Linked DNA regions of Alligator mississippiensis. The protein of the gene in region 3 purifies or fractionates together with the protein of the main gene of each other region. This does not show direct contact. Links are inferred from orthologs where the notes say so. Each region holds a gene or a part of one and is shown on either strand. Other genes may lie near its edges. The genes, in order: INSIG1, SREBF2, SCAP and SREBF1.

Evidence for each region.
Region 1: the proteins of SCAP (region 3) and INSIG1 purify together in Homo sapiens (affinity purification with western blotting; 11 studies listed by BioGRID and IntAct, with this or other methods). This does not show direct contact. The link is inferred for Alligator mississippiensis from reciprocal best matches to the Homo sapiens genes SCAP and INSIG1.
Region 2: the proteins of SCAP (region 3) and SREBF2 purify together in Homo sapiens (affinity purification with western blotting; 3 studies listed by BioGRID and IntAct, with this or other methods). This does not show direct contact. The link is inferred for Alligator mississippiensis from reciprocal best matches to the Homo sapiens genes SCAP and SREBF2.
Region 4: the proteins of SCAP (region 3) and SREBF1 purify together in Homo sapiens (affinity purification with western blotting; 4 studies listed by BioGRID and IntAct, with this or other methods). This does not show direct contact. The link is inferred for Alligator mississippiensis from reciprocal best matches to the Homo sapiens genes SCAP and SREBF1.

Annotation. Positions count from the first base shown.
Region 1 is NC_081828.1:204,484,322-204,491,594, forward strand, and holds the start of INSIG1 (insulin-induced gene 1 protein), read right to left. Parts: upstream 3,008-7,273; 5' UTR 2,902-3,007; coding exon 2,652-2,901; intron 1-2,651. UniProt on the Homo sapiens protein: Oxysterol-binding protein that mediates feedback control of cholesterol synthesis by controlling both endoplasmic reticulum to Golgi transport of SCAP and degradation of HMGCR.
Region 2 is NC_081827.1:96,982,102-96,989,052, reverse strand, and holds the start of SREBF2 (sterol regulatory element-binding protein 2), read left to right. Parts: upstream 1-3,936; 5' UTR 3,937-4,060; coding exon 4,061-4,142; intron 4,143-6,951.
Region 3 is NC_081828.1:217,459,116-217,466,887, forward strand, and holds the start of SCAP (sterol regulatory element-binding protein cleavage-activating protein), read right to left. Parts: upstream 3,007-7,772; 5' UTR 2,907-3,006; intron 2,875-2,906; exon of another isoform or gene 2,773-2,874; intron 295-2,772; exon of another isoform or gene 84-294; intron 1-83. UniProt on the Homo sapiens protein: Escort protein required for cholesterol as well as lipid homeostasis.
Region 4 is NC_081836.1:54,797,758-54,804,989, forward strand, and holds the start of SREBF1 (sterol regulatory element-binding protein 1), read right to left. Parts: upstream 3,014-7,232; 5' UTR 2,819-3,013; coding exon 2,725-2,818; intron 1,037-2,724; exon of another isoform or gene 983-1,036; coding exon of another isoform or gene 964-982; intron 886-963; exon of another isoform or gene 685-885; intron 1-684.

The DNA.
Region 1 (7,273 bases), about 13 Mb from region 3:
CTATTGAACTTAGTGGAATTATTTTAGATATTTGTAAAACTAATAAAGTAAAAATCTGTCTGTATTGCGTATCAAGTTTCAGTAACTCCTATGAGTTTATTTGTGAAGACTGCTGAAGCTATACCCCTGCATTTAGCATCTTGATACAGTTTTGGTTTTGAGTAAGTCCATCCTTCTTTTAAAAAAAAAAGGGGAAAAAAAATCTGACGTTTCCTGATCAATATATTCACAGATCTCCCAAATACTTCATGTTTAACCCAAAAGAGAGGGCTATTTGATTTCTTCAGTATATGGTGATCTTTTCACTCATGCTCTTGAGTTTAAAAGTTTGGGTTTCAGATTTAAGAATACTATAGCTACATCTTTGGCAAACATTCACTGAACAAAAACCTGTGTTCAATGTGAATAATAAACAGGTTAAGTATTAGAGCTGGTCAGGCTAAACAGGAAACACTTGTGATACTGTCTGTATTAGCCTACTATGAAAGTGCAACTCATCTAGTTCTCTCTGGAAACAAAATAATGCAGTTTTGAAAAGCTAAGAGCTAGATCTCTATATAGCAAAAAGACCCCCCCCCCCCCATGTTACAAACTGAAGGTAAGCAGATTAGAGTCAGAAATACAGATGTCTATAGTTTATAAAGACTAATTTATTAGGCTGGCGCAATTAGTGTTTGAAGGCTTAACATACCACAAACTCTAGGAGCTTTACAGACTACACAGTGTTTTGTAAAGCAACTTGCCTGAAGTCAGTATGTGACAAGACTCAAATCCTATAGCCCTCGTTTGAATTCCATTTATTCTGACGGACATCTCTTCAGAAGACAGTTACAAAAATCTTGTCTACGCCCGCTGAGGAAGCTGATCAAGGATGTTGTGCTCAGACGCACCAAAAGAAGCGTTCCTTTAAAAACCTTTACACTTCCATGGAGTTCTTACAAAAATAAGCCAGGCCAAATTGAATTTCTTTTCCAACTCAACAATGTCAGCAACCACATGTAATGTGTAATGTCACGGGTGTTTAAAAAGGCATCTGATTAAAGAGTCATTATTTAAGAAAAACTCCATTATTGGCATCACAAATAATACCTTCATTAATTAAACTGAAAATGATCTTGGCTCATTAGAACCAAGCATGCTTCTACATGCAAGCGTCTTTTTCTGACCATTAGTCACACACACATGTTTATACTGCCGGCACTCTGTTTTTACCATCAAAGCTTCTCCCCATCAGGAACCCCCCCCAAAAACAAGACCAACCAATATATCCACACAAAAAGCCACCCTTCTCTGCCCCCAAGAGTGTTTCTATTAGTTTTGCTTTTAAATTTGAGCCAACATCTTTAACACCCCCATCCCTTCCTCAATCTCATTTGTGTTACATTAGATAGAAGCAGGGCTTAGTTTATTGGCTCCAACACTGAAGCTGGCTACCCATTTTTGTTCCAATTATACAGCAGAGAACTCTTCTTTTCTTTTCATGGGGTGTTTTGTCCCAATTGTGCTATAGTGTTACCAGAAACCGAGGATTCTTGCAGTTACTGCGGCTGTGGCTGCTGGGGGTTGCAGGGCTCCAGGTGGACCCCGTGCGGGGCAGGCAGCCAGACAAGCTCGTCCCACCCTCTTCCGACATGTGACTTCCTTGTTTTCGATTCTCTGTCTGTGGCATGTTCGCGCAGGCAGCCAATAGAGGCAGCGCCTTGCAACTCACCAGTTCTGGAGGGAGCCAATCGTGCAGCAAGGAGCAAAGACAAACCTGCCTCCACTGCGCCAGATCCAAACAGCTGAACCCTACCCGACAACAGCTGGAGGAGGGAGGCCTCTCCACTGCTCCCCTACCCCATGCATCAGGCAACAAGTTAAGAAAGCCCTTCACAGGTTAGCTCGCCATAGCCATAGCTAGCCGAGCGGCAAGGATTTCTGGGTGATCTCTTCTTGACCCTGCCACGTAGCTAGAACAGGGTTAAATTAACCAAGTGTCTGCAGTGCAACAGCCAGTTCAATGAAGACATACCACCCTAGGAAATTCTTGCCTCGCCTCGTTTCTGGACCATCACAGCTACAGCACTTTCACACAACCTACTCTAGCTAGAAAGAGCCGCTCCCCCGCTCTTCGGGGTGGGACTATTTAGGTTTGCCTAGGGCCAGGGCCAGGCACCACAAAATCCTTTGAAAGATGCCATGAGACAAGCAGGTAGCGCACAGGGTCAGGGTCTGCCGGCCCTCTCCTAGGAAGGAAGCCCGGTCACAGGCTGGGTTTGGACCTGTGGTGCTGCCCAGGTCGCATCGGCGAGGTGGGGGAGGCGGGGGGCCTGGTCCACACACCAGCCATGGATGCGGGGGTCCAAGAACCTCCAGCTCCTGTCAGACACGTGGCTGCCCAGCGCACAGGCAGCAACAGCATCCTCCTCCCTGGGGCTGGGAGAAGAGGGCCCGGGGCCAACAGCTGCAGCCGCCCCCGCTGCCACGGAGCCAGGTCCAGGCGGTGCAGCAGCGAGGCCCCGCTCCCCGAAGCAGTGAACGGCGACCCGCAAAATCAATGCCCGCCGGGCCACGGCCACGGCCACGCGAGCGGCACGAGCGGCTGCGAGGACGGACACACGTGCGGGGCGAGCGCCGGCCCGGCCCGCGCCCACGTGCCCGGGACTCACCTGCGGCGGTGCCGCAGCACGGGGGCACCCACCAGGCGGAGGAGAAGAGCGTGGCCATGACCTCCTCGGGGAACAGCGTCACGTTGCGCTGCACCTGCAGCAGGTTCAGCACCAGCGCCATGAAGGCGCCCACCGCGAACAGCACCAGGCTGCGCTGCACCAGATGCGGGCTCCAGCGCGGCCGCGCCTCCGCCTCCACCATCGCCCCCGCCGTGCCGCTCCCGCGGGCGCGCCCCTCCAGCCTGGGCATCGGGCCGCCGCCGCCACCACTCGACCTGCGCCGAGCCGCCCGGGGACGCTTATAACCACCGCCGCCGCCGCCGCCGCCGGCCCCGCGCGCCCCGCCCCGCCCCCCGCAGCCCCCCCCCACAACCCCGCGGGCGGGGCGCGGGGGCGGGGCGGCGCGCGGCGGGAGCTGGCGGCGGCCCCGGCTGCGGCCGCAGTCTGGTGAGGCCGCCCGGCCAATGGGAGGCGCGCGGCCCATATGACGTAGGCACACACCACCCGCCTCCTGCCCGCCGCCCGCCCGCCCGGGGAAGGCGCCTGGCGCCGGGGCTGAGGGGGCGGGGCCCTGCGCTCCCCGCCCCCGCCCCGAGCTGCCCCTGGGCGCTGCCCGAGTGCGCGTGCGCCTACGTACCCCTACAGCGGTATGTGCACGCGCACACACACACACTCTCTCTCTCTCTCTCTCTCTCTCTCTCTCTCTCTCCACCCATGTGTATAGCACAAGCGGGGGTGCCGACTGCTGTAATGTATAGACCCCAGCTTGGGACCGTTATTTCTAGTCACTGCCGGTAGTGCTGGGGGGAACAGGGACTCCCCCAGTGCCTGCGGGTCCCCCTGACTAGTTTGTAAACGGCCACTAGATCCCCCTCAGCCTTCTCTTGTGAAGGCTGAACAGGTTCCCGTCCCGTAGCCTCTCCTCGTAGGGCCTGCCCTGCTGCCCCTGACCGTGCGGGTGGCCTCCTCTGGACCCTTTCATGTTGTCCACATCCCTCCTGACGTGCGGTGCCCAGAACTGGACGCAGGACTCCAGCTGCGGCCTGACCAGTGGTTGTCCCCCCCCAGGTGCAGCACCTTGCACTTGTCAGTGTTGAAACCCATCCTGTTCTCATCCGCCCACCCCTGTAACCTGTCTAGGTCTGATTGCAGCCTATTCCTCCCTTCTAGCATGCCCACTTCTCCCTGCATATTAGTGTCATCTGAGAATTTGAACAGGGTGCTTTTCACCCCCTCGTCCAAGTTGCTGATGAAGATGTTGAACAGCGCAGGCCCGAGGACCGAGCCCTGGGGGACCCCACTGCCCGCATCCCTCCAGGTGGAATAAGACCCGTCCACCGCCACTCTCTGGGTGCGGCCCTCCAGCCAGTTAGTGACCCATTTGACTGTGTAGGTGTCAATGCCACAGTCCCCTAGTTTTTTAATGACAATGGGGTGAAAGACAGTGTCGAAGGCCTTCCTAAAGCCCAGAAAGACCATGTCCACTGCTACCCCTGCGTCTAAGGATTTTGTGACCTGGTCATAGAAAGCCGCCAGGTTGGTCTGACAGGACCTGCCTCTAATGAACCCATCCATGTTGGTTGCCCCTAAGCATAATCTCCCCTGCTGGCCCCTCATGGACATGGGTAAATGGGAGAGCTTTTATTAGGCCAACTAAATAGTTGGAAAAGTTGTTCTTTGCGCAAGCTTTCAGGCATGAACGCTCTTCAGGTATGTTCATCAGCTCATGAAAGCTTGAGCTATGTTACGCACATATATATACAGGTTTCCCTCACTTTATGCTGTACATGTGTTTCTGGAACACGGTGCATTACTCGAATTCACGTAAAGGGAGCCCACTTTACAATGCAACAAATAGGGATACGTTCCAAGACCTCGACTGTACTGACCACCAGACCCATTTCTACCACTTTTCCAAGACAATTTTGGACTCACCTACAGCACGCAGTACACACAAGCATAGGGCGCTACCTTAATGGGGATGGCAGCTAAGAAACACGTGTCGCAGACAACAGGCGAGGAGCGCAGATCCACGCGGGAAACTATATTTTGGTGCGTGTCACCGCACAAAGCAGCTGACTGGGCTTCCAACACACCGATCACATAAGGGTGAATTTACCTCGCACATAACAAATTTTTGGTATAAAAAAGAGTCATCACATAAGAGCGAATGCACACATACAGAACCCGTATAAAGCAAGGGAACCCTGTATCCATTAAAGGCTGAGAACAACTGATCTACTGATTTCTATCAAACATGGGGCTACTCAGAACAGTGGCTAACCCAACAGTGTACTCATATATTTATATATATATATATATATATAAAAATAAATAAAATAAAAGCTGCTTTGGTTAGTCTGTAAGGTGCAAATCTACCCTGCCCTCCACTTAACATCAGCGTAACATGGCCAGCTACTTCTCTAAAAATATCAAGAATGTGCTTCTCATTCAGGGGATACCCAACTGCAGATTTAGTGAAAAGGAAGACAATGCTTGTTCTAGAAAGCAAAACTTTGGGGACACAGGTCGAAAAACTGAACGGGATCCTGCTGGTTCCAGGTCCATATCTGGATCTTTTTCACCTGGACATTTCAGGGGACCAGATTTTTATAATGGACTAGGAGCAGGTGTATTTGGTCTCATTTATGTGCTGTCTAATTTTAGAGTACAATTTGGCAAGCTCTAAGTGCTGGACACATATTTATGGTGCTACAAGGTGCATCGTGGCATGGACTTTATGGTGAGAATACAATACTTGCTCTTCTTTGTGTAGCTTCTAGAATTCAGGGTAAAAAAAAAAGGAGGGCTTGATGAAGGAGAATTCACGTCACTCCATCTATTTGCAACAGGTTTTGATAGGCTTTTTTGGCTCACTAGGAGCTGGTGCATTTTTTTCCCTAGTTAACAGAGACACATTTAGGAATTATTAGTAATTAAACACTGCTTGGCTCCAGGTACATGCTCTTCCAGTACTAGTTAGCTAACATACATTATGGTCTGGATTTTTCCAGTGAAATAGAAGCAACTGCATTTGTTTTGCAATGAGGCTGTCAAGTTTAGCAGTTTGGGTGAACTGGGTGAACTGCCAAGCTCTCTGTTCATCTCCAGCTGGATAGAGTGTTGCATCCAGGTTTTTGCAATGGTTATGGACCAATTTTCATCGTGCTCTGGAAACTATTATCAGTTGGTGCTGTATAAGCAGCTAAACTTTTTTTATAACCAGACCAGACCTTTAAATTTGGGTGTTCAGAGCCAAAAGTTGGTTCCATATAGCAGGATGTAGCTACTGGGCTTGATTTTTCTAGTGCTGAAAACCATGATACAAGATGATTGAGGGTCCAGATTTTTTGTCTGCCTTAGGATGAACCAGACTTTCTTGGTGGAATATTTTGGGGGTTGGGGACAAAAATATCAGCAGTATCCAAGTAGATCCAGCTTCTGTTTTTCCTAACATATATCTTGTTTATGCAACAGCGCTGTTACCATACATTGAACCAGTGAAAAAGTCTTCATGACACCACTAAACATAGCTGTAATAGCATGGGCAAAGTTCAAATCAAGGATACTTTATTGACATGTTAAGTTTCAAGGGATGCCAAAGAAAGGTTTTGGCTTTTTTGATATGGTCAAAGAAAACAAGGTTAATCCAGGATAGGACTACATGTTCTTGAGGGATGTGGGGAGGGACTTTCCCATGTCTATTTCCTAGTACTGTCTATTCCTGGCATTTTACCATGTAGCAAGATGTCACCTCTTGCTGTCTCTCTCTTTTCTCTTAGGATCAGGGTGCAGGTTTTTTCCTCATTGCTTTCTGAAGAAAAGTCTCACATGTTCCTGATATTTTGAGTAAGTATTTTCCTTACACTTCCTCATATTTTGGATGGTGGAGTAAAAAATGCCTCCCTCTCTCAAGCTCTCTTCTGTTTCTGTTCAATTGGCTGCAGTTCTGTCTCTGTTTAGATTGTGTTATGTCTTGTGATTTCCACCAGCAGTGCACTTCACTGTATGTTACTTAGCCAGAGCCTCCTGTAGTTGTGAGGAGGTGGTCTAGTAATACAAGAGTTCTGTGCAGGGATCTGTAGCCGTTTAACTTGTTCCTGTTTTATATTTCTTCTTCCCAGAGACTTAGAGGACAATATTCTGGGTCCTGGTATAGCATCTTGGGTACCATTTAGTTTAAGCAGGATTGTTGGGCCAGGTTGATCAAGAGTTTAGAATTGCTGAGCGTAGAGTGTAATGATGTGCAGAAATGGATTATGCTTGTATTTGGATTGATCCTATGTTTCTTTGTGATGTGGCATTTGTTGCAATGGTACCAGAAATTTAATATTTTTTTTATATGTTGAGTGGGAAGGGTTTTGGGCTAGTCTCAAGAAGGGCCCTCAAGATTGTTTCCATGGTGTGAAAAAATATATCATTCTTTTCTTACTGCTTCACTGAACCTTTTTACACCTGTACAGCTGTAGCAAAACCCCCAGTTTTTTGTTTTTGTTTTATTTTAAAATGCATTCTCTCCCCTTCCCCGACCATTTCTGACTTTTTCTCTCCCTCTCTATTTCCTGTAGATAAGTATGAGCGAGCTAAGACATAGAATAAGCTTCAGCATTTTATTTTGGTAG
Region 2 (6,951 bases), on a different chromosome or scaffold from region 3:
ATCTTGGGGGGCACATGCCCCCAAGCCCCCATGTCACTTGTGCCCCTCCCACCCCCCACGCATCACCTGTGCCCACACATGCCCTTTCCCACACTGGGGGGCTGGGAGAGGGGGGCTGTAGTTTAGGAGTGAGGGACACAAGCAGGTCCAAGGGGGTATGGGTTGGGAGTGAGAGGCACTGGCAAGGCCAGGATGCTGTGGGTTGGGAGTGAGGAGAATCAGCAGGGCTGGGAGAACTGTGGCTTGGGAGTGAAGAGCAACAGGATGGGTGGGAGGAAGTCACCGACATATTGGGGCTGCTCGGCACCACAAAGCAGCATGGGGGAACAGCCACAGCTGGACCCGTGTCCTGATAAGCAAAGTGGGTAGGGGGAGCTTTGATTTTTCTATTATTTTCTATGATAAAAAAATATCAAACGCCAAAGTATATAGGTATTTAGAATTTATTTTATTATGACGATTGAGGTACTAGTAGGCTTCTAAATTGCTTTAAAATTGCAAATATATCAATAAAACATTGTGTTCAACTTTATTTTATATATATATATATATATATATAAAAATAATAAAATAATAATAAAAAATAATTATATATATAAATAAAATATAGTGGTGTTTCATTTTAATCATGGGAAAATGCAGATTTTGGGGGTTTTAATCAGAAAATTTGGAATTTTTTATCAGAGACTTTGGATTTTTTAAACAGAGAAAACCAGGATCCCTGCACATTACAAATGAAGCTATGGCCTCTGAAAACTGTCAGATCTAACATTACTTGTCACAAAAGTAAAGGTTCTAGCCCCAGTGTTATGGCCAAATTTGTATTGGGTAGTTACAGTCTTTACTTCAGGTCTTCAACCGTTGTGTATAATTGCTGTCAAATGTCTTCTCCACCTCACTTTTGAGACATCTGTATTTCAGAATAGTTAACGTTTTATTCATATAGAGCTATAGGTTAATGCCACACTTCACTCATGGAGCAGTGTTTTCTTCCCTGCAGCACTATAATACTATGTTAAGCACAAAAGACAGGGGAACGATTGAGGGCTGGGACAGGTTGCGGATTAGTCATCAGAGGAGGAAAGATGGCTGTCAGAAGTGATGTGAAGAAGAATTGCGTGGCAGGTGAGGACAGGGAGATGGGCTGAAGAAAGGGCTGGTCGAGTGGGTGGGAAGGGAGGAGGAAGAAGGAGAAGAGAAGGGACTGGGTAGAGTGTAGAGCATTTGAGGACAGTGAAGGGAAAGCAACAGCAGAGGTGTAGGTGGGGGATTATGTAAAGGCTTGCAAATGAATGAGAGCTTGAATCTGGTGTGGAGGCAGGAAGCCAATACAACAATTTGGAGAGGTGACTACAGTATAGGGAGAGAGGCTGAAGGTTGTGATAATAAAGGCAATATCAAACAAAGGTTTTGGTAGTGGGGCTTGAAAGGAAATAATGGATTTTGTGACATTAAAAAGGAAGAAGAAACAAAGACGTGGGAAGAGAAGACAGAGGAGAAAAGATCAGAGCACCAAGACTGTATATTGCTGGACTCCCTACCAAAAGAGCCTCAGAAAAGAAAGTGGTTAGAGAAGAAGAACGATTAATTAGGGGAAAAGACACATGGCAGAAGGGAACAAAAGTTGCCTGGCCAGCTAAATAGGAGAGCTAGAAGGGTGGAGCAGTTTGCCATACAAAGGCTGCACTGAGGTAAGAGAGGAAGGCCAGGGGTCCCTAACTATCCAGAGAACATGTACATTTGGCAAACTGTATGGCTTGAAATGACACGACAGGATTATATTTGAAATGCAGCCTGGCCAGGGGAGCTGCAGGTTGCTGGTTAAACCATAACTAGAGAGATGGTTTTGTTAACTTTTCCCAAGTGTAACTCCACAGCAGTACGGCCAGTTTGGACATTTTCAAATTGTGAGTCGGGCCCTCCCCAAATCAGGGAGACTGGCTTTAAAATCACAAGAATTGGAAATTGCCCAATAGTTTGTGTTCTGTATGGTGTGTGTTTATGTTTGCCATTGAGTCTTTGAACCTTTAGGAACACTCGGGGCACTTTGTAAAGGTATTTTTCTACAACCACGGAGGGCAAGAAATAAGGTGCAAGTAACACATCATTTATTGTGAAACTTGCAATGAAATCAAGAAATCCTCAAACTCTAGTCCCTGCATGTCAAAAAGGATATAGAGGAACTAGAGAAGGTACAGAGAAAGGCAACAAGGATGATTAGTGGAATGGAGGCTCTTCCATAGGAGGAGAGATTAAAGAGGCCAGGCCTATTCAGATTAGAAGAGAGATGCATGAGGCGGAACATAAATGTTTACAAAATACTAAATGGTGAACAGAAAGTAAACAGGGATTTGTTATTTACTCTCTCCCAGAATACAAGAAGTAGGGATCACAAAATGAAACCAGGAGGCAATCAGTTTAAAACTAACAAAAGGAAGTTCTTTTTCACGCAGGGTGTTGTGAGAGTATGGAACTCCTTGCCTGCCTGATGGTTTAGCCAGGTTCAAAAAGGGATGGGATGCATTCTTAGAGGAAAGGGGCATCAGTTGCTATTGAGCACAGAAGTGAGGGGCACGGCCTCTGAATCAGACGTTGTCCCTTCATGGGCTTGATTGGGCAGGTGGACCCAGTTCAGCCCCTGGGGCATGCGTGGCAGGTCCCCATCCGGTTGTGCGGAGGGGAATGGGAGAGCAGCCTGGCTCCCAGCCAGCTGTGTAGGGAAAGTGGGGGGGGGGGGGGATGGCCTGTTTCCAAACTGGTGGAGCAGGTGAAAGGGGTGTGGCAAACAGCTTGGGGGGGCAGGGGGCATGGCCCAACCTTGAACCAGCCATTAAAGGGGAGAGGGCATGGCTTGCCCCATGGAAGGAAGCAGGCATAGCCCAGCTCCAACCTGGCTGGGCAGATGGAAGGAGGCATGGCCCAGCACCATGTGGGGAGAACAGCAGGTCAAGGCTCTGAGCCCTCGCAAGGGCCTTGGCCTTTTGACAGCAGGGAGGGCGGCAGCCTGACCTGCCCCTGTGCCCCTGCTCCAACTTTCCTGCCCTGCAGGGACCCGGGCAACCTGCTTTCCAAGGCTCTGTGTGCTGCATTTGGCCCACAGGCCAGAGGCTGAGCACCCTGGGCCTAGAGTCTAGACCCTGAATGCTGGAGGCTGTGAGTGAGAGGAGCAGTGCGGAAAACCCTGGCAGCACCCAGTTCCCTCCTCCTTTGTGCACCCCCTCCCTGCCGTGTGACACTGGCCCCGGGGCCCAAGGGGCAGAGCCTGGAAACGGTCATTCTTGTGTTCTTGGGGCTGCAGGGGGCTGCTCCCTCTGGGCTCTGCCTGCACCGGCAAGCCCTGGGGCACCTAATGCCTGCTCAGGCCTTGGTGTTTCCAGGGCCCAGGGGCCCGAAGGCCCCTTTGCTGCGCTCAGCTGAGCTGCAGGGCCTGGCCCCACCGGCAGGGAGTGCTTGTGTCCTGTGCCCGGAGGTGGGAATTGTGGGAAGGCCCTGGAGGACTGGCAGCGTGCAGGGCTCAGCCAGGCTCCTGGCACCTCGCTCTAGCCCTGCCAGCACCTGAGCTCTCCTGGTGCTGCCACTGCACTGCACTGCCCTGCCCTGCCCTGCCCTGCCCTGCCCTGCCCTGCCCCGCCCCGCCCCGCCCCGCCCCGCCCTGCAGCCCCCCCTCCTGCGTTCTGCCCCTTTAAATTCTCCTTCGCGCTGGTGAATAATTAGCAAGGCGGCCCCGCCCCCTCATGAATATTCCACATGGAGAGGAGGAGAGAAAAGGAGGTGGAGGGGCGGGGCTATGTATGCAAATCAAAGCTGCTGATCGCCGACGCGCCATCACACCACGAGCCGGCGCGGCCGCTGGTTGGTCGGAGGGGCCCTGGTCTCATTGACAACGCGCCGCGGGAGCGCTGCCGCGTTGGTGGGGGTAGGGGTAGGGGCTGCCCGGCGGGGGGGCGGGGCCGGCCCAAGATGGCGGCGGAGCCTGCGGGAGCTCGGAGCAGGGACTGAGCGGCGGGACGGTTGATGCCCGGGGTGAGCGGTCGGGGCGGGCCCGCGCGCGGTGGCGGCCATGGAGAGTGGCGAGCTGGGCATGGAGACCATGGAGACCCTCACGGAGCTGGGCGACGAGCTCACCCTGGGCGACATCGACGGTGAGCGCGGGGGTCACGCGTGGGGCGCGGGCTGCGCGCGGTTATGCGTGGGGCGGCGGCACGCGTGGGGGGCACGTGCCCGCAGCCTGGCCCTGGGGCGCGCGTGGGGCCGCCCTGGGTGAGGGCCCGCGCGTGGGGGGCCGCCCTGTCGCGGGTTCGGTGCGGTGGGCCTGGTGGGCACAGGGTGTCTTCGTGTGCCCCCAGGCTTGGCCTTCGCACACAGGTGGGGTTGGCTGGGCCAGACCCTTCTCCTGCCTCGCGTGGGCTGGGTGGAGGGTACTGGGTGGGCGCAGGGTGTCGGGGCCCTACTGCCTTCCTCTGCCTGGGGCTTGGCTGTCCCATGCAGGTGGGGTTTGCTGGGCGAGACTCACCTGCGTGGGCACCATGGGGCTTCCTGCTAGGCAGAAGTCACCCCCGGGGCTCTGCCACTCCTGGCCCACATCCGCCAGGCAGGGTTGCGTGTCTACGCTGTGCCTGCCATGGGTGTGCTTCTCGCACAGACTGTTGCATCCCAGAAGCCTTTATTTCTGTTGGCATCCCCGATTGAAAGGTGTGTGCTGCCTTCCTGTGTCCCCGGCTGCTGTGCAAGGGAGTGCCCCTGAGAGCAGGATCTCCATCAGCTTCCACCATGCTTTTTTTCTTTTTCTTTCTTGCTTTTTGAGAGTTTGCCATATGGATGTTTCTGGCTAACAGCGGATGCTCGCAAGGGATGGGGCAGTCGTCAACAACTCTCTGGTTTCATCATAGCCATTGCTTTCTTGGGGGGCCCTTTTGTGGGATTGACACTGGGAATAAGTGCAGTGTGAATGTGTGTGTGTAGGGTACGGGAATAGTAGTGTCCTTTCAGACATCTGGGTTTGGGGCACCTGCTTTTGTCCTGGCAGCAGTAAACACTGTGCTGCTTATTCTCATTGCCCAGATTCCTACTTCTTTCCTACTAATAACTTGAAGTGTCACGGCCTATAAATAGCTGGTTTTAGCATCAAAGAAATTGGAAAGGATGCAGGCAAGTTAAGTTGCATCTTCCCCTTAGTTCTAGCCTGTCTGAAGTCAGCAGTAAGTTGCTTGAAATGTACTCCCTCGTGCCTTTCCAAGCCCCTGTATAAATGACTCAGACATCTGGGCTTTCACTGATTTCTATGAGCAGGTATTCCATAGAATCCTAAATATGCCTTACCAAAAGGAGACGTTTCCCAGATGCTTTATTCCCCCCCCCCCCCCCCCCCCCCTTTGCTCAGTTTCTTTCTGTTGTTCCCTGGTAGTGAACACCTGATCTGGACTGAATATAAATGCTGGCCTGCAGAAGAAACAGGAGACTTGCTAACATGGCCTGCTGTTGTACAAGTGCCTCTTCTGGCTTTGCTCAACAGTTGATTGTGCAGTGCACGAAGGGAGGAGCACATGTGTTTTACAGCATCCTCCCTGGTGGATCAATACAACATTGAGTCACACATTGGAGTTAAGAGTTGCTGCTAACTTGTAATGTTGCCTTAGGAAATTCTTTTGCTATTTTACAATCTGCAAAATGGGGCTAGGTGATGTTATAGCTTATTATACAAAAGGGTGCTGAAGCTTAATATTAGTAGGTTATGTTGGTGCTGCTCATTGAATATGTAAAGCATTATAGGTGGCGGTCTTTTCAGAGAATAAACAATAGGTGCTCTTTCTGTCACCTGGTGTGTAACAGCCATTTGATGTTGGTAGACCGAACCAAGAGGCAGATTTTCTGATCAGTTATTGGTCAGCAGTGTTACTAGTTGATGCAGCCAGTTTGGTATAGTTCAGAGCAACTCATCCTCGACAGAGGGAAAGGAAGCATGGGAGCATTTTGTTTGGCTCAGCCCTAAGTTACATTTTTAGATGGGGTGAAGCAAGAGCAAGGTCCGGGGCCACCCGAGGCTCCACGGCGCTGCGGTATCGTTACGTTTAGGGGGGATTCTGATTTAGAGGCATTCAGTCATAATCCCACAGATGGTAGCTTCGCCCCATTGGCTCCTCAGCCAAGCACATACACCAAATGTCTGAACCTGGTGTTTTGCAGTCCAGCATGCAAGATCCTGGTGTTTTGCAGTCCAACACGAGCTTGTCAAATAACTTTGATTTTTTTTTTTTTTAAATCTTCCTTATCTCACTGCCAGGGCAGCAGCAGCAGCAGCCCTGCCACACACTCTGCTCTTTCAGGCTAGAGTATTCTCTGCAGTCCATTCTTTACAAATGCGTGCATTTGTACAGTAGTTTACAGTAGCTTGTCAGTCTGAAACATACATGGCAAGGTAAATGATTGTGACTGTGCAGTGTCCAGGCCCTAGTGCCCAGGTGCTGAATACTCTAGGAAGTTAGTACTTTGCGAGTTCAGGTTGCAGAGTAGGACCTGGAATGAGGCCAGGGAGTGTTGTGTGAGAGCACTGATCAGTCCTACTAACTGTATAAAATGTAGGTCTGTCCATACAAAATGTCCACATGCAGCTTACTGCAGTGCTACACAGTTTAAAAAGAAAAACATTATGTTGGCTGTAAAAACGTTGCAAAAAGATGCATTTGAGATCCAGATTGTACAAGACATATCAAAAATATTTTTCCTATCCTGGAAAAGTGAATCTGGCACAGAACACATACATTTAGAGTACTTTTTTCCACCTGAATCAACCCTTTCAACTGCTTATGTCTGTTCCTTTCCCTGGTATTTCAACTCAATTTTTTCATGGCGACATTAAAAGGAAAAAAATGAGTGTACACATATTTTTTCAGCTGTCTCCTGGGGATGAAGTTAGTGTTGTCTGTTGCCCAGCATTCATCATTGTAAAGTTCG
Region 3 (7,772 bases):
GCAATACACTAATTTCAAGCACTGGGATCCCAGGACAAACAAAAGCAAGGTACAAAAGAGGAGCTTGTTTGTATTTTACGAACCGTCAGAAAACTGGAAGCTGCATCCAGAGATTTTTGGCAAAAGGCATTGGACACAACAGCTCCTTCTCTCCATGCTCCAAGTCCCAAATGCACAACTTCTCCCCCTTGTAACGGACAGAGAAGTCCAGCTCCCTCCCCACTGATTTCAGAAGCCGCCACCTGCTCTTTCAGAGCTGGAACGTTTGCTGGATTCACAACCCCATGGATTAGACTGCTAACCAGCATGAAAAAAAAAAAAAAAATACATGGTCCACCAGGTCCATCAGCCCACAGCAGCATCCACAGGACTTCCCCTCCTTCTCACACGTCCTCTTAGTGCCTATTTATTCCCCGTGTCTTCTGCACCCACGCTCTGCCCCCTGCTCTCCTTTTGCAAAAGGAGCAACAGCTCAGAGTCATAACACTACACCAGTCACTACCCCCTGCCTTCATCCGTGGGATGATCAGATGCTCTGTTCCCTATTTTTATTCCCTTCTTCTGCAGGCAATGGCTCCCCTACAGCCCCTCAGGCCACCCTATGCTTCCACAAGCCTCAAACAAGAAGTTTCTCCCAGCTGAATGTTTTGGGCTCTTCTACAGAGGTGAACAAGCAACCAGCCCTCTCTACTTCTCTTCCCACATCTAGCACTTGCCTCCAATAGTCTCAGTGTCCAGCTACAGGAGGGACAGAGATCCCCGTCTTCTGCAGGTCTTAAGCAGCTTCGGTCTCTGCAGGGTAGGTAAGGTTAGCTGAATGGTCCTCCCTTCCCTTTCCCCAGGCTGTTTAATGCTGCCACCCTCCTTAGTTACTATTTAACCCTTTCACCAGGCAAGGCCGCTTGGGACGCAGCACGCACCATGCCTGAGGGAGCAGTTCTTGCCTAGCAGAGCCTGATTCCCAGCCCACAACCAAGCATCTAAAACAAGCCCCTCAGGTGCACCAGCCTGCTCGACCGGAGCCCGAGCAAGACAAGCTCGGCCCAACACGCCTACACGGGGCCCCGTCACACCTGGATCAGAGGAAACCAGCCCTCTACTCACAGCTCAGGCTATACAGCTCGTTTCTGTCGGTCTGCAAGGTGCAAACCTACACGGCTCCCAGACTAACACAGACCTCTCCTTGGCAGTGACTTCTCCACCTCCCTGGCTAGGCCCAGCCATCTCCTAACTGGAAAAAGGAGGCAACAAATCCCCCTCCCCAAACTGCCGGGGCCAAGTGGCTTCTGCTTGACTGACGAGCAGGGTCAGGTAATTAGCATGATGATAACAGTAATAATCATAGTGATACCCATCATCAGATAAAGATACTAATGACAAACAAAGTAATGAGGCTATTGATACTAATAAAATAACAACATTAATACCCCCTCCCCCCCCGCCATCAATGGGCACTAATACCTTCCCCCACCAGGAAACAAAGGGCACTAATACCACCCTGCCTCCCCCGGGCATCAGTGGGTACAAATACCACCACCCCCAGGCAACAATGGGCACTAATACCCACCCACCCCTGGCATCAATGGGTACTAACACCACCCTCACCACCACCCCAAGGCAGCCATGGGCACTAATACCCACCCCCCCCCCAGCATTAATGGATACCAATATCCCACCCCCCAGGCATCAATGGGCATTAACCCCTGCCTCCCCCCAGGCATCAATGGGCACTAACCGCCCCCCCTGGCCAGGCATGAATGGACACTAACACCGACCCCCCCCCCCAGCATCAATGGATACCAATATCCCCCCCCCAATCAATGGGTACTAATACCCCACAACAATACCAATACAACTAATAAGCAGGGATCTGCTTATTTTCTCTGATTGGGGATTTGTTTTTCTATTTTTGGTTAAAAAAAAGTAACCCCAACTCCACGTTGTTCTGTGACTTTAAATGAAACGCTGCCAATATACAGATATACATATATAATATACAAGCATCTGTATGTACTGCAGAGGTACATGTATATCTATATATTGACGGCGTTTCGTTTAAAGTCACAGAACAACGTGGAGTTGGGGTTACTTTTCTTTTTGTTTTAAACCAAAAATGGGGGTGTTTGTTTGTTTTTTTTAAGTCATAGAAAGCCAGGATCCCTGCTAGTGAGATATTACTTGCGATACCAAGTGACAATATTAATAAGTAACGATACCAATCAATAACGGTATGAACGATACTAGTATGATACTGATTATGATACCAATAACTACCGTTACTCCCCCAAGCAAGGATACCTTACTATACTTCCACGAAAATCTTTAGTAAAAAGGTGAAAGATTTATGCGATCTGAAGAGAAACCAGAGTATACCAGAGAAACCTTATTATACTTACTGACTAATAAGGAACAATAACAATACACAGCAATATATCAATGATACTAGTAAGATATTAAACGTGACACCAACAATGGGACCAATCGCACTCGGGACACCAATAAATAACGGTATCAACGATGCCAGTAAGGTATCGATTGCGATACCAATAAGTAACGATACTTATTGACCGAGTAATCAGGAACAACAGCAATGGTTACTAATAAGTAACGATACCAATAAACAGCGATGATCCCAAGACGCGGCAATACCAATGATACAGGTAAGGTATTCATTGTGCCACCAATAACGGGACCAGTCGTAAAACTGATGTAAAGTCAGTCAGTGCCGGCACCAACGGCAGGGATGACACCCGCCCCGCCCCCGCTACTAACCATGGCACCGGGGGGGAGGGAGGGGGGCAACACCACCGCGGAGGCCACGACACGACCCGCGCTGCTAACGGCGCCCCGCCTGAGGAGAATGGGTCGGGGGTCCCGCCCCCCGGGGCCGGAAGTAGGGTCCGCACCTTCCGGCCGCGCCACCTTCCTGGCGCGCTCAGCCTCGCTCCGGCTCCCGGCCGGCTGCGGCTGCAGCTCCCTGCGCCCTCTGCCCTCTCACCCCGTGACGTCACGCCGCGCCCACGCATGGCCCCGCCCATCCAGCGCGTGGCCACGCCCCCGCCCGCCCGCCCGCCAGCCAGAGCGAGGCAACATGGCGGCGGGGGTGGGACGGCGTGGAGCAATATGGGGTGGGGAGTGGGGGCACATCTGGAGTGCTGTGTCCAGCTGTGACCCCCCCCCCCCCACTACAGAAAGGATGTGGACACATTGGAGAGTCCAGTGGAGGATAACAAAAATGGTGGTGGGGCTGGGGGACAGGACTGGTGAGGTGAGGCTGAGGGAAATGGGCTGATTTAGACTGCAGAAGGGAAGACTGAGGAGGATTGAATAGCAGCCTTCAGCTCCCTGCAGGGGGTTGCACAGAGGATGGAGCTGGGCTGTTCTCAGTGGGGGCAGATGACAGGACAAGGAGCAATGGGCTCAAGCTGCAGCAAGGGACGTTGAGGTTGGATATTAGGAAAAACTCTCACGAGGAGGGCGGTGATACACTGGAACCGGCTCCCCGGAGCAGCAGAGGAGTCTCCATCCTTGGAGGTTTTGAGGACAAGCCCGGGTGCGTTGAGGCTAACGTCTATGAGACGTGACCTCCCGAGGTCCCTTCAGCCCTCGTTGTCCCGGTCCACGATCTGCGCGACGTTATTTCTGCGCGGTGCCTGAGGGGGAGCTCCGGGGTGGGGGGGACGATCCTCTGGATGGTTAATCCGGCCACCCAGACGGGGTCGGTAAAGCAAGGGCACGCTGGAAACGATTATGGCATCGCCACGTGTGCGCTGGCAGCCGTTTCATCAAACCGTTCCTTATAAAATAAGCTAAAAATCCCTTGTAAAAACCCATCCTGCTCTCACAGATGAGGGTAAAGGGTGGTCAGATGCCCACGTCTCTCTGAGGATCGTTGCTGACGTGCCCGTGGTGAGGAGCATAATACTCAACCGCTAGGACCAGGATGATCGTGAAAGCCAGACAAGCAACTGGTGAACGAATCGTCCCGGGGTGCTTGGAGGGAGCGAGCCCTCGCTGACAGGTTCAGGTACCTTTGACCATTCGTGGAAGCACTTGGACCTCCTGCAGAAAAGCCAGGATCGGCGTGGAGGGGGAGAAACATTAACAATATTTACGCAATTTGGAAGCTTCCTCTCAGTGACCTCCAGTGGGATGGTGCTTCTAGGCAAACCTTTGCTGGCTGGATCAACCCCTGCAGCGCAGCACCAAGGCAACTGGGCTCCCGCTGCTGGGCTTCGGCAGCCGCTGGAGAGGACATGGAGCTGCCCGACGAGCTGTCACGATGCCGGAGAGGGAGAGGTGCTTTTAAAGCCAGGGTGGCAGCAAGACTGGCCCTTCCTAGACTTGCAGTTTCGGTGCCTTTGCAGCCCAATGACAGAGCAGGGTGGGAGCTGAGCCAACAGCACAGCAGATCATCTCACAGAGGCATCAGCTGCCCTAAGCCAGACTTGCTGGACCGCCCATGCTCCATGCCATGCTTGCGGGACTGTGTGGTCAGTGCAATACGTAGGAACCCCCTCCTTTGTCAGAGGCCAGGCCTGTGCTATCACTGCCTAGACTTGAGCTGTTGAAGATAGCTCAGGCTGGCCTCCAGGGACACAGCAGCCAGGGGCCCTGCAGGTGACATAGTCCTGGGCACACTGGCAAGGCTGAACAAGTGCTGGGAGAAGCAGAGACAGGCAAGGAGCAGCAGGGACAGACAAGAACGCTACACGCTGTTGCAACCGGCATCATCTGAATGCACACACAGACGTCACATACCTGCTAGCTTCGCTCTGGCACCTAGACACCCTCCCTGCACACCAGACTCCCGTCGTGCTAGGTGCTGCACAAAGCCATTTGCTCCCCCTGATGGTAGAGGAAGCTAGGGTCTGTTAGGGTCTCTGATCAGGCATGCCCAGCTAGGCCAAGCACCCGAGTTTCTCGCCTGCCCCTGATCCCTGGTTAATCCGACCACCCCAGTTCTCTGCAACTGAATGGCAGCTGAAGGCACCACTCACCCCTTTCAAGCACACCTGCAGCCCCAGGTCTGTTTTGCAAGCCTCATGGACGCTGCTATCTGATTCTCCTGGCTCCTGACTTGGCTTCAGCTTTCCCTGGCCCTGACCCTGAATCTGCCCTGGAACTTGGTACTGGCTCTCTGACCCCTGGTTTTGGATCTCAGCTCACGTCGCACTGTGCCTATTGGATCTCCCTTTTTCGCTCTCCTGGACCTTGGTCCCTGCTTTCTCCAACCTTCCAACCCAGACCCCAACCTGGCACTTGGGTAATGAATGCTCCCACCTGGTTGACCCCCAGGTTGCTCCTAGTGGCCCAGCTGCCTATGTCCCAGATGAACCCTCATGGGGCAGCTCCAAGGGACATTGCAGGTGTTCCCCACATGCAGCAGCTGCACCCGGGAGTCTGAGCAAGGGCAGGACACTGCAAAACCACGTTGTCCACATCAATTGCTGCAGGGCATTAACTTCCATTCATGACTGTAACAACCTCCTTGTGTGGCCTACGAGAGCCAGGTGCCCAAGGTTAGCTCTGGGTATGTGAATTACTCCCCCAGGTCCAGGCATTTGTGGAAGCGGGGCAGATTGTGCTGAAGCACAGGCTGACCTTTCCTCCAAGGCTGGGGCAGTCCTGCCAAGGGATGAGGTTACCATTGTGGCTTCCAGCCAGGCTGTGATAATAGGGAATTAATTGAAATGTTTCCGTGTGTCAAGCCCACACTCGGCACCTGCAAGCAGCCGCTTGTTGTAGGCCATGTCTGCTGTAGCAGAAACAGGATGAAAGCAACCATGTCATGGTGACTGGCTTGCTGTGACTTGCCAGGACTCAGTTCGGGACAGCACCCACCATGGAGCTGCCCAGCAACCTGTCACAATGCCAGAGGGAGAGATGCAAGATGCACTTTTCCTATGCCCACAGATTCAGCTTCTTCACAGCCTGAGGACAGAGCAGGGTCAGAGCTGAGCCAGCAGCACGTCAGAACATCTCACAGAGGTGTCAGCTGCCACAGGTGGGGGAGAAGCAAAACCCTGGCATCTGAAACCCTACACAAGCCATGCAGGGAATAAAAAAGGTATTCCCATGTCCAGTGGACACCTGAGAATAGGTAACCAGGGGGCGGTGGCACTGGGGGGGGGTGGGGAGGGACAGAGCAGGGGAAAGAGCAGAGAACAAAGCAGCAGCAGCAGCAAAGAGACTAGAAAAGGTCTGACCCCTGCTCTGATGACATCTCTCTCCACAGTGCTGCTTTTGGGGCACGTTTTTCAACCCCTTCACTGGAGCGTCAGCTGCATTACGTGATGCCCAGCCCCAACCTTGCTGTGGCCTGTTTACATTCGTTGCACCGGGACTTTTCCCAGGTAGAGGATGGGGTTTTCCTATAAGTTTGTCAATACTGTGTTTTAAATACCCCGCGGGGGTGGTCTCTGTCAGGTCCCAGTTGGAGCACAGTGTTGCCATGTCTGGTCCTGGGACTATGGCCCTTGCTGCACATTTTCCCAGGCCAAACACCATTGCTGGATTGGTGGGGGGTATCCAGAACCATTCCAGGAAGGACACATTGCTGCCAGGATGTAGACGTTCCCCTTCAAGCCTCAAATTTCTTCTCCCACTGTTCTGCTTTGCAAACAGCACTTTAGATAGATTTGGGTACTCTGAGATCACGGACTTCCTAACTGACTTCCTGCCCATTGGTCAGGCTGGATTCAATCTGACGAGGGGGCTGGATTCAATCTTACGAGGTTCCATCCAGCCCTAATGTCTATGAAATCTATGAATTGGACAAGCAGCCAAGCTTCTACAATATATGAAGAATTACAGTCATGACCTCCTCATGCCTTCAGCCCCCCTCTACATGGTAGCTTTAAACTGACCTGGGAAGTTAGTGACATGATTGGCCCTAAACCATGTCTCATGTATTTAAAACTTGCTGACACCCTTGCCTCGCTTTTGTGGCTGCCTCCCTGTTTCTGCAGGGTGGACAAGGTCCCTCAGCAGGGGGTGTCAAATTACTCTCCCAGACCTCTGTGTGGGCATCCCTAAAATGATCCGCTTCGCCCGCATGCACGTCAAACAGGCATTCTCCTCCCTGCTGAGGTTTTCCTAGAAGGCAGTCTTGCAAGCTAGGTGAGGTGGCAGACTGGATGTGGAGCAGGGTTGCCAACTGTCCATAAATATACAGACAACCCATAAGCAGTAGGGGGAAAAACAAACCCTTGATGCACAAAAATAATGGGAACTGTCTCTAAAAAACAGAGAATCAGTGAGCTTGATGGACAGACAGAGCAGAGCAGTGCCACCTAGCATCGGAGTGGGAGCATGGCACCCTGCAGAGAGCACTTTCCAGGGCTTTGTGGTTCCCCCCTTCTCTACTCCCCATCCATGTGCTGCCACTGCATTCCCCCACCCCTTATGCCTGCCTCTAATAGCTGCTTAGCCAGCATGGAGCTGTAGGGTTGGGAGAAGGGAAAGGCGGCAGATAGAGGTCTGTGCTAGGACAGGTGGTGCAGGGCCGGTCGGGGTAAGGCTGTGGGGTGAGATGGGAGTGTGGTCAAGGGTGTCAGTGTGTGAGAGGTGAATAGGGGACCTTGGGATGGGTGTAAAAACATTGCTGCAGTCAAGCAGGGTCACCAACCCAAGACATTTTTTTTTACTAATGATCTGCAAACAATTTTTATTATGGTGGGTGTTAACCCCTAAATATGAGCCCGGCCCTTGTCCCGGGCCTGGCAGAAGGATTATGCAAGACATCTGTCAGTAAAAACACGTCAGTAAAA
Region 4 (7,232 bases), on a different chromosome or scaffold from region 3:
CAGGACAGGGGCAGACCCAGGGAGGGGTCCAGCCTCCACACTGTTGTCCCCGGGTGGAGGAGCCCGATCCTGCGGCCCAGCCTCCTGGCTGCAGGGCTGGGCTGGGGGGCTGTCACCCCCAGGCCTGCAGAGCAGTTTCCAGAGACGTTTGTTCTGCACGGCAAGAAAACAAGTGAGCTGGGCTCAGAAAGCGGCTAGCTCTGGGGGGGAGCAGAGTAACGCCTCTGCTAGCCCTCAAGGGGAGAGGGCCATTGCCCGTCACAGCAGCAAGGGGATGGCAGGGGCAGCCTGGGGGGGGACCTGCAGTCTGAACAGCCCTTGCCGAGGCAGAGGGAAGGGCAGAACCACGATCCTCTCCCGGCGGGGCAGGCGGGGGTTGCAACACAGGGAGGCTGGAGAACATGCCCAGGGCCACAGAGTCAAGCGGGGACGTGGCCCCCATTTCACTCTCCCACGGCGTCCCCCTGCCTGAGCCCTGGCAGCCCGGCACCCAGCAAGAGCCCAGGCGCACACCAGCCCGCTTTGCACTCCTGCTGCCACGAGCGCCCCTCGCACTGCCCGGGTCCCCCCGTGGCACGCAGCCGGGGCGTGGAGGGCAGGGATCAGGGTTGGGGCTGGCGCCCTGCAGCGTGGGCCTGGCTGGGAAGCACCCAAAACCCCGGAGGTCGCAGTCCTGACGCCCACCTGCCCTCGCGGCCCGGGCCAGTCCCCCACGCCACGCCGGGCGGATGGAGGGGAGCCTTTCTGCATGTGCCCACGTGCCGCCCAGGCACCTTGCTGCAAATTGGGGCAGGCCTGCAGCACCCACGGCCGAGCAGCTGGGGCAGGCACAGGAGCAGGGCAGGGCACGAGTGCCAGCGGGCACCGCTGCCAGGACGCCCCAGCAGGCTGCACTGCCCAGGGGACAGCGTGCAACCCCCCTCGCCATTGCAGCCTGGCAGCAGGGCCGACCTCGCCGGGTACCTTCGAAGGTGCACTCCATCCCTGCAGCCGCGCCCGGCCCCGTGCGGGGAGCGGGCGCGCGGCGCCTTTAAGGGCCGGGCTCTTCCCGCCCCCCACCCCCCGGGGACGGGCGCGCGGCTGGAATTGTGAATCAGGGCCCGGGCATGAGGTGATCGCGCTCGGCCAATCAGCGCGCGCCGGCCCGGCCTCGCGACCTGAATGGCGCAGGGTTACTCCAGGGCAAGCCGCCTTAACCCCTGCGCTGCCGGCGGGGTTACTCGCGGGCATTCCTGCGTTAACCCTTCGGGCGCCGGGCCGGGCAGGGAGAGACGGGGCCCGGAGGCGCAGGGCTGGGCTGAGGGCCTCATCCCCACTCCTGGCTGCACCGGATGAGTCAGAGCAGGGGGCCAGCTCCAGCACCCACCCCTGCCCCTGGCACCCTGGCACCCAAGCCTCGTGGCCCTCTGTGCCAGGGCACGTGGCCACGGCGGCGAAGCCTCTGGGGCAGCGCCCGCCGCCCACTGTGCGTGGAGCCCCCCGTGCTGCCCAGCGCCAATGCCCGGCCCCTCGGCCTTCAAGCACCGTGCGCCCGGCCCTGCCCGCAGTCCCGGGGCTGGGCCCACGGACCCCAGGGGCAGCAGCATCCACCACAGTCCAGGCCCCCCACAGCTCCTCTCCCGCTTCCCTCTCCCACCCCCGGCCACGCGCTCCTCGGGCTCGGCCTGGCGTGCCAGCCAGCCGAGATGCCCAGGGTGGCCAGTGCCACGGCCCCCGGGCCACGCGCTGCAGCTCGCTCGCCCACACCAGCTCCTAACAGCACCCGCGGGCACAGGCCCGGGCAGGCACCGCTATAAAACCTCCGTCTCGCCTCGTAAAGAACCGGGAGCGCCCGAAGCAGCCCTGATGCCGTTGGCACTGCTGGGCACGGGGCCAAGCTCCTGCCCGGGCGGGAAACGTGGACCCACTGGTGCCCACAACGCTGGCGGCGATGATTTGTGGGGGGGGGTCATCCGCTCGGCCCCGCAGCCGGAGAGCCGTCGCTCCCTGGCGCCTCGGGGCAGCCTGGCCCCCGCACCCGCGGGTGCTCCGAGCCCCGCTGCTGGCGACGGCCCCGCGGCACCAGGACCGGCCTGCCCGCTGCTCCCCGTGGGCTGCGGGGGTCAGCTAGTGACGGGTGCCCACGCTGGGCGGGCCGGGGGCTCGGGACCACCACCCACCCGGCGCGGGGGCAGCGGCAGGGGAAACGGACCACGCGGGGCCGGACGGCAACGCCGCCAGCCTCGCTCGGGCTGCCCTACGCGGGAGGGGCGTGACCGCCCTCGGGGAGCCGCGCACACGTGTGTGTGCCCGTGTGCGTGCCCGCACATCCGTCAGCGTGAGCCCACACTTGTGTGCCCGCGTGCATATGCAGGTGTGCCCGCAAGCCTACAGCTGCGTGCACATGTACATAGGCACGCCCGTGCCGGTGTGCAGACGTGTGCCACATCTACCTGCCCCTGCACCCACCTGCGTGTATGCGTGCGTGGGTGTGCCCGTGTTTACAGCCCTGCACCCCACGTCCCTGGCTGTACACGGGCGTGCCCGTGCCCATGTGCACAGGTATGTTTAGGTGTGTGTGTGTGCCCCTGCACTAACACGTGTGCGCAGGGTCCGGCGGGGCACGACCGGCAGTAACCCCGCTGACGTCAGGCGGGGCGGGGCGGGGCGGGGCGGGGCCCGGGCCCACGGCAGCGCCGCGCACACGCGTGGGGCGGGGGGGATCGGGCCGGGGCCGGGACTCACCGTCGATGTCGCTGAGCAGCGCCGCGTCGATGTCGCTCGGCTCGTGCAGCCCCAGCGCCTCCAGCGCCGCCGCCTCCAGCCCGAACCCGCTCATCCTCCCGCCCGGCCCCGATCCCGATCCCGATCCCGATCCCGCTCCGGCTCCCGCCGCCGCCGCCTCCTGCACGTCCAGTCCCGTCCCGCTCCGCCGGGGCCGCCGCTGTTGCTGGGCGGGCGGGGCTGGCGCTGGCCGCGCCCCCGGTGACGGGAGCCGGGGGCGGGGCGGGCGGGGTGGCCCCACGCGGACCAGCCCCGCGACCCCCCCACGCGCGGAGCGGCTCCCGGGCGCTGACGTCACGGCAGCGACGTCAGCCCCGCACGTGGGTCGCCAGCACGTGGGTGGCGCGAGCGGCGGGGAAGTGGTTAAGCAGGGGCGGGCCCCCATTGGCGGGGGCCGCGCCGGCGGACGGCCAATGAGCCGCGGCCGGGGGCGGGGCCCGGCGGCGCATGCGCGCAGGGAGCCCCGCCCACGGTATTGATGGGAGGCGGCGGCGGCCAATGGGCGCGCGTGGCCGGAGTGGAGTGATGTCGCGTCACGGCGATTACATCATGCGCGGGCCACGTGGGACGGCCCAGGGGGCGGGGCTCCCCTGCAGAGGGCGCCACGTGCCGCTTCGAGCACGTGGCCCGGCCCCAGCGCTGGCGTGGGGGGCGGCGGGAAAGGCACCCCCGCGCGCCGGGGTCCTGCAGGCCGAGGTCTCGACGCCCAGCTCCCCTGCGTGTGAGGGCCAGGAGCCCCCCTGGGGTCACGACCCCTGTTTTGGTTGCCTCCTGGGTGCCCGCGTGAAACCCCGTCCTGTTGTGCATCTCTGAAGGGGCAGAAGGGGACCAGGGCTGCACCTGGGAGATGGCCTGTCCTGCCTGGCGGGAACCGCCTCAGTGGCGCCCTGCCGCCAAAAGCGCCCGCAAGGACCCAGGTGGCACCGACCTCGTGGCACCGAACCAGTCCCTCGTTCCCATCCGAGGAGCACGCGGGGGCGCTAGGACATGAGCGTGTGCGTTGGGCGCGAGGGGCACGGGGGTCCCGGCCGCCGCCACCGCTGGCACCTGCTCGCGCTCCAGCCTTGTGCCAGGCACGGAGCGGGTGTGGGGAGCAGGCGGGCAGTGGCGCCACACCCCGCCCTGCCGACAAAGCTCCTGCGCTGTGGCCGGTTTGGGGCCAAGGGCACAGGCGCGAAGCCGGCTTTGTGCCGCCAGCGTCGGGCGAGGGGGGCGCTGGGAACGCGCTGGTGACCCGGCCGCTGACCGCGGGCGGGCGCGGACGGAGCTAGATCTTCGCAGCGCTTAAACCCGGAAAGCAGGACCCGAGACGGGGGTGGCTCGAACAGCTCACACGAGTAGTGCTTTATTGGAGTATTTCACATGCAAGAACCAAACTAGAGAGATGATTTCTGGAACAAGTTCAGAGATGGATTAATACATGTGGAGCATCCTGACATACACTGGTTTCTACGTGAAGACAGCAATGACGGTTAGTGTCTTTTTTTTTTTTTTTTTTTTTACATTGTCAGTCTTTTTAAATGGTTAAGTCCCTTTCCCCTCCCCCGCCCCAAACAAAAAAATATCCAATATCTTCAGTAAATAAATATTATTCCACTTTGTTTTTATCCGGAAAGCCTACAGCTTTAATATACAGGAGAAGCTAGTACACGGGTTATGTCTGTAGTGTTAAACAGTAGCTCGTAGGAACATGTAGGGAATGAGGAGGAGCTCGCACTCATAAAAACACAGAGCGGGGCGGTTGGTTTGGCATATGTTTGCCACCAAGGAAGAAGAGACAGCAGGAGGGAGAGCTGGGGGGGGAACGAGACAGGCTGGGACCAAAGCCAGCTGTCAGTCGAGTGTGGGCTCGGTTATCCCAGCGGGAGAGGGGAGCAGCTGCTGCCGGTGCCTGGCTGAGGCAGGGAGGTCTTCAAGCGCCGCGTGGAAGAGCACCAGCCCGGGGGGTTCGGGAAGCCGTGGGCAGCGGGCACAGGTGCAGCCTGGTCCCGCCGGTGTTCGTTTGAAAGGGTTAAGTGGACAGAAGTGGCACCTGAGCGCTAGTGGCCGCGGGTCGGTGGGGACGCCTGCTGCCACGCTCGCTCTGGGCCAGTCCAGGGCAGCAGGGAGATGCCCACAGGATGCCAGGGGCAGCCCAGGAGGTTATTTCCAAACAGAACCATCTGCCGCACCCCACCAAGCTGCGTTTGCCTTGTGGCATTTTGGAGGTAAACGCAGGCAGAGCCAACCGGGCCAGGCGGGAACCGTTGTCACCCCACCTCCGGGACCTCCCGACAACCACAGAGGCTCCACAACAGCCCGGGGCCAAGGCGGGCAGTTGGACGGGCTCTGCTTGGACAGGCTTGCTGCCCTCCCCGCCTCCAACGCCACACATCCCGTTCCGATTGCTGCAGACAGCAGCGCTACAGAGGAGCAAGCAGGTACAAGGACCTTGGCTGGGTGAGACGGAACGTGCCCTGCTCCGATTAATACCTAGCGCCTCTGGGCAGCATGCTCCCTTCTTGACACCAGCATGCTCAGCCCAGCACCGGTCCTCGGCTATTGGAGGAAACTGAGTCTCGCCACCACCTGTGCCCAGCCAAAGCCCTGTGCTTACAGGGAGGCTGACGGCTTTACCCCTTCCTCTCCCTAGAAGCGCAGAAACACCCTGGAAATGTGGGTGCCAGAACTGCACCGCTGTGGAGCCTGGGGAAGGGGCTTCTTCGAGTTGGAAGGAGAAAGGGATGCTGGAAGCTACCAGGGGTCTGGCTGTGACCACCCTGCAGACACGTGCCTTTCCCTCCAAGACGCCGCGCTATGTTTTTATGAGCTTCACGGACAGACCAGAGGCCCTACGAGTCCATACGGCACGCTGTCACCTACCCCGCGCCTGCCAAAGGTGCACGTGGAACCTACACACGACAATCAAAGCAGAACATAACGCCCCCCTGCCCCCCCAAATAGCTATTTAAATAGAAACAATTCACTTTGTACATCTCAGAGCATGAGGGGTTAACAGAGGAGGTTAAACATGTCTCCGAAAGAAAAAAAACACGTATCGACAAAATAAATAGTCTAACCTAGGATAAGGTGTTGTTGGAGCTCGCAGAGGGTCCCGACTACGACTGTCGTGGAGCGTGTGGCAGCGGAGGCAAAATCTTTGAGCAAGCTCTCAGCCTTGCTAGGCCGCGCCTGGACGGAAGCAGTTCAAGCAGCAGCTCAGCTCCGCTCCTCCTGGCCTGGGAGTCTCCACGCCACGTCGCTTCTGTCCTGCTCACGCAGGGGAAGCATTGGCAAGGCCAGGGACGGAGGAGTCCAGGTGGGGAGCAGTTTTCTCCAGACAAGAGGGATAATCCAGGCTTTTCCCAAGTAAAGGGAGACTGGGAGGATTGAACTGCTCACACTCCTGCAAACCATGATGAGCAGCACAGGGAAGACGGGCTGATCCTGATACAGGATACTGGGAACCTGTAGCAACGGTTCGTCCACCAACAGATCCTCCGGGCACTCGGTGTTCCCACCGACTGGTGTCATCCTCCAGCAAGTGCAGCCCACTCGGTCATGTCCCATGGCTTTCGGCCCCACGTCTGCCCTGCTTTGAATAGCCCGTGCCCAAAAGTGCTGCTCCTCTGGTGTCATAGGAGACACGGTCCTGGAAGCGCTGGATCTAGCAAAGGGCCGACCAGAGCGTGAGTTACTGCCCTGCCTTCCCACCCCGTTAATGAGGGGACACCTGCTCCCAGGCAAAAAATAGCATGACCTCCAACTCATCGATACGCAGGGCCACAGCAGGCAACCCGGAGGGCCTGAGGCTGGAAGCACAGATAAGAAAGTGCCCTGACTCCCAGCGGCACCCAGCACTTCCCCATTGAGGCCCAGCTGCTCCACCCTCCCTAGCAGGGGCTCCAGTCCATCACATGGCAGCCCTCTGGGATCTCGCCCATGGGAACAATCAGGAATCAAGGGGTTGGGAAGCAGGGGGCAGAGGAGAGAGGGGTGCCCTCTCCTTTCCCTTTAGGGGAGGGCAGATGCAGACAAGTTAGGCAGAGGGAGGACTCCATCAGCAACACCAGGTCGTCCCAGCTCAGCTCCAAGCCCTGCAGCAATGCCCTCCCTGTCTCGACTCCCTCGAGCTCTGTACCCGGGTGAGCCCTGCTTGGCAGTGTCCGTTCTCTAGCGGCGCTATTAATCGGAGGACTTGGTGAGGCGGCTGGATTAGTATGCTTAGAATCACCTGATGTGGCTGTTTACAGGTTCCCAGGCTTGGAAAAGAAGAGGCCTGCCAAGAAACCCACAGAGCTTCTAGCACTTGCAGCAACGCACTCGCCGCAGGCAAGGGACGTCCGCTGGAATCGCGGGCACGGTGGGGCTGGAGCCAGCAGGGGAACTGCACTGTTTCCCGGGAAGGTGCGGTCATGTGTGACACTGTGGAGAAAGCCGGGGCAGTAATAACCAGGGACCCAGCAACAGGACACGACTCCTGAACGATG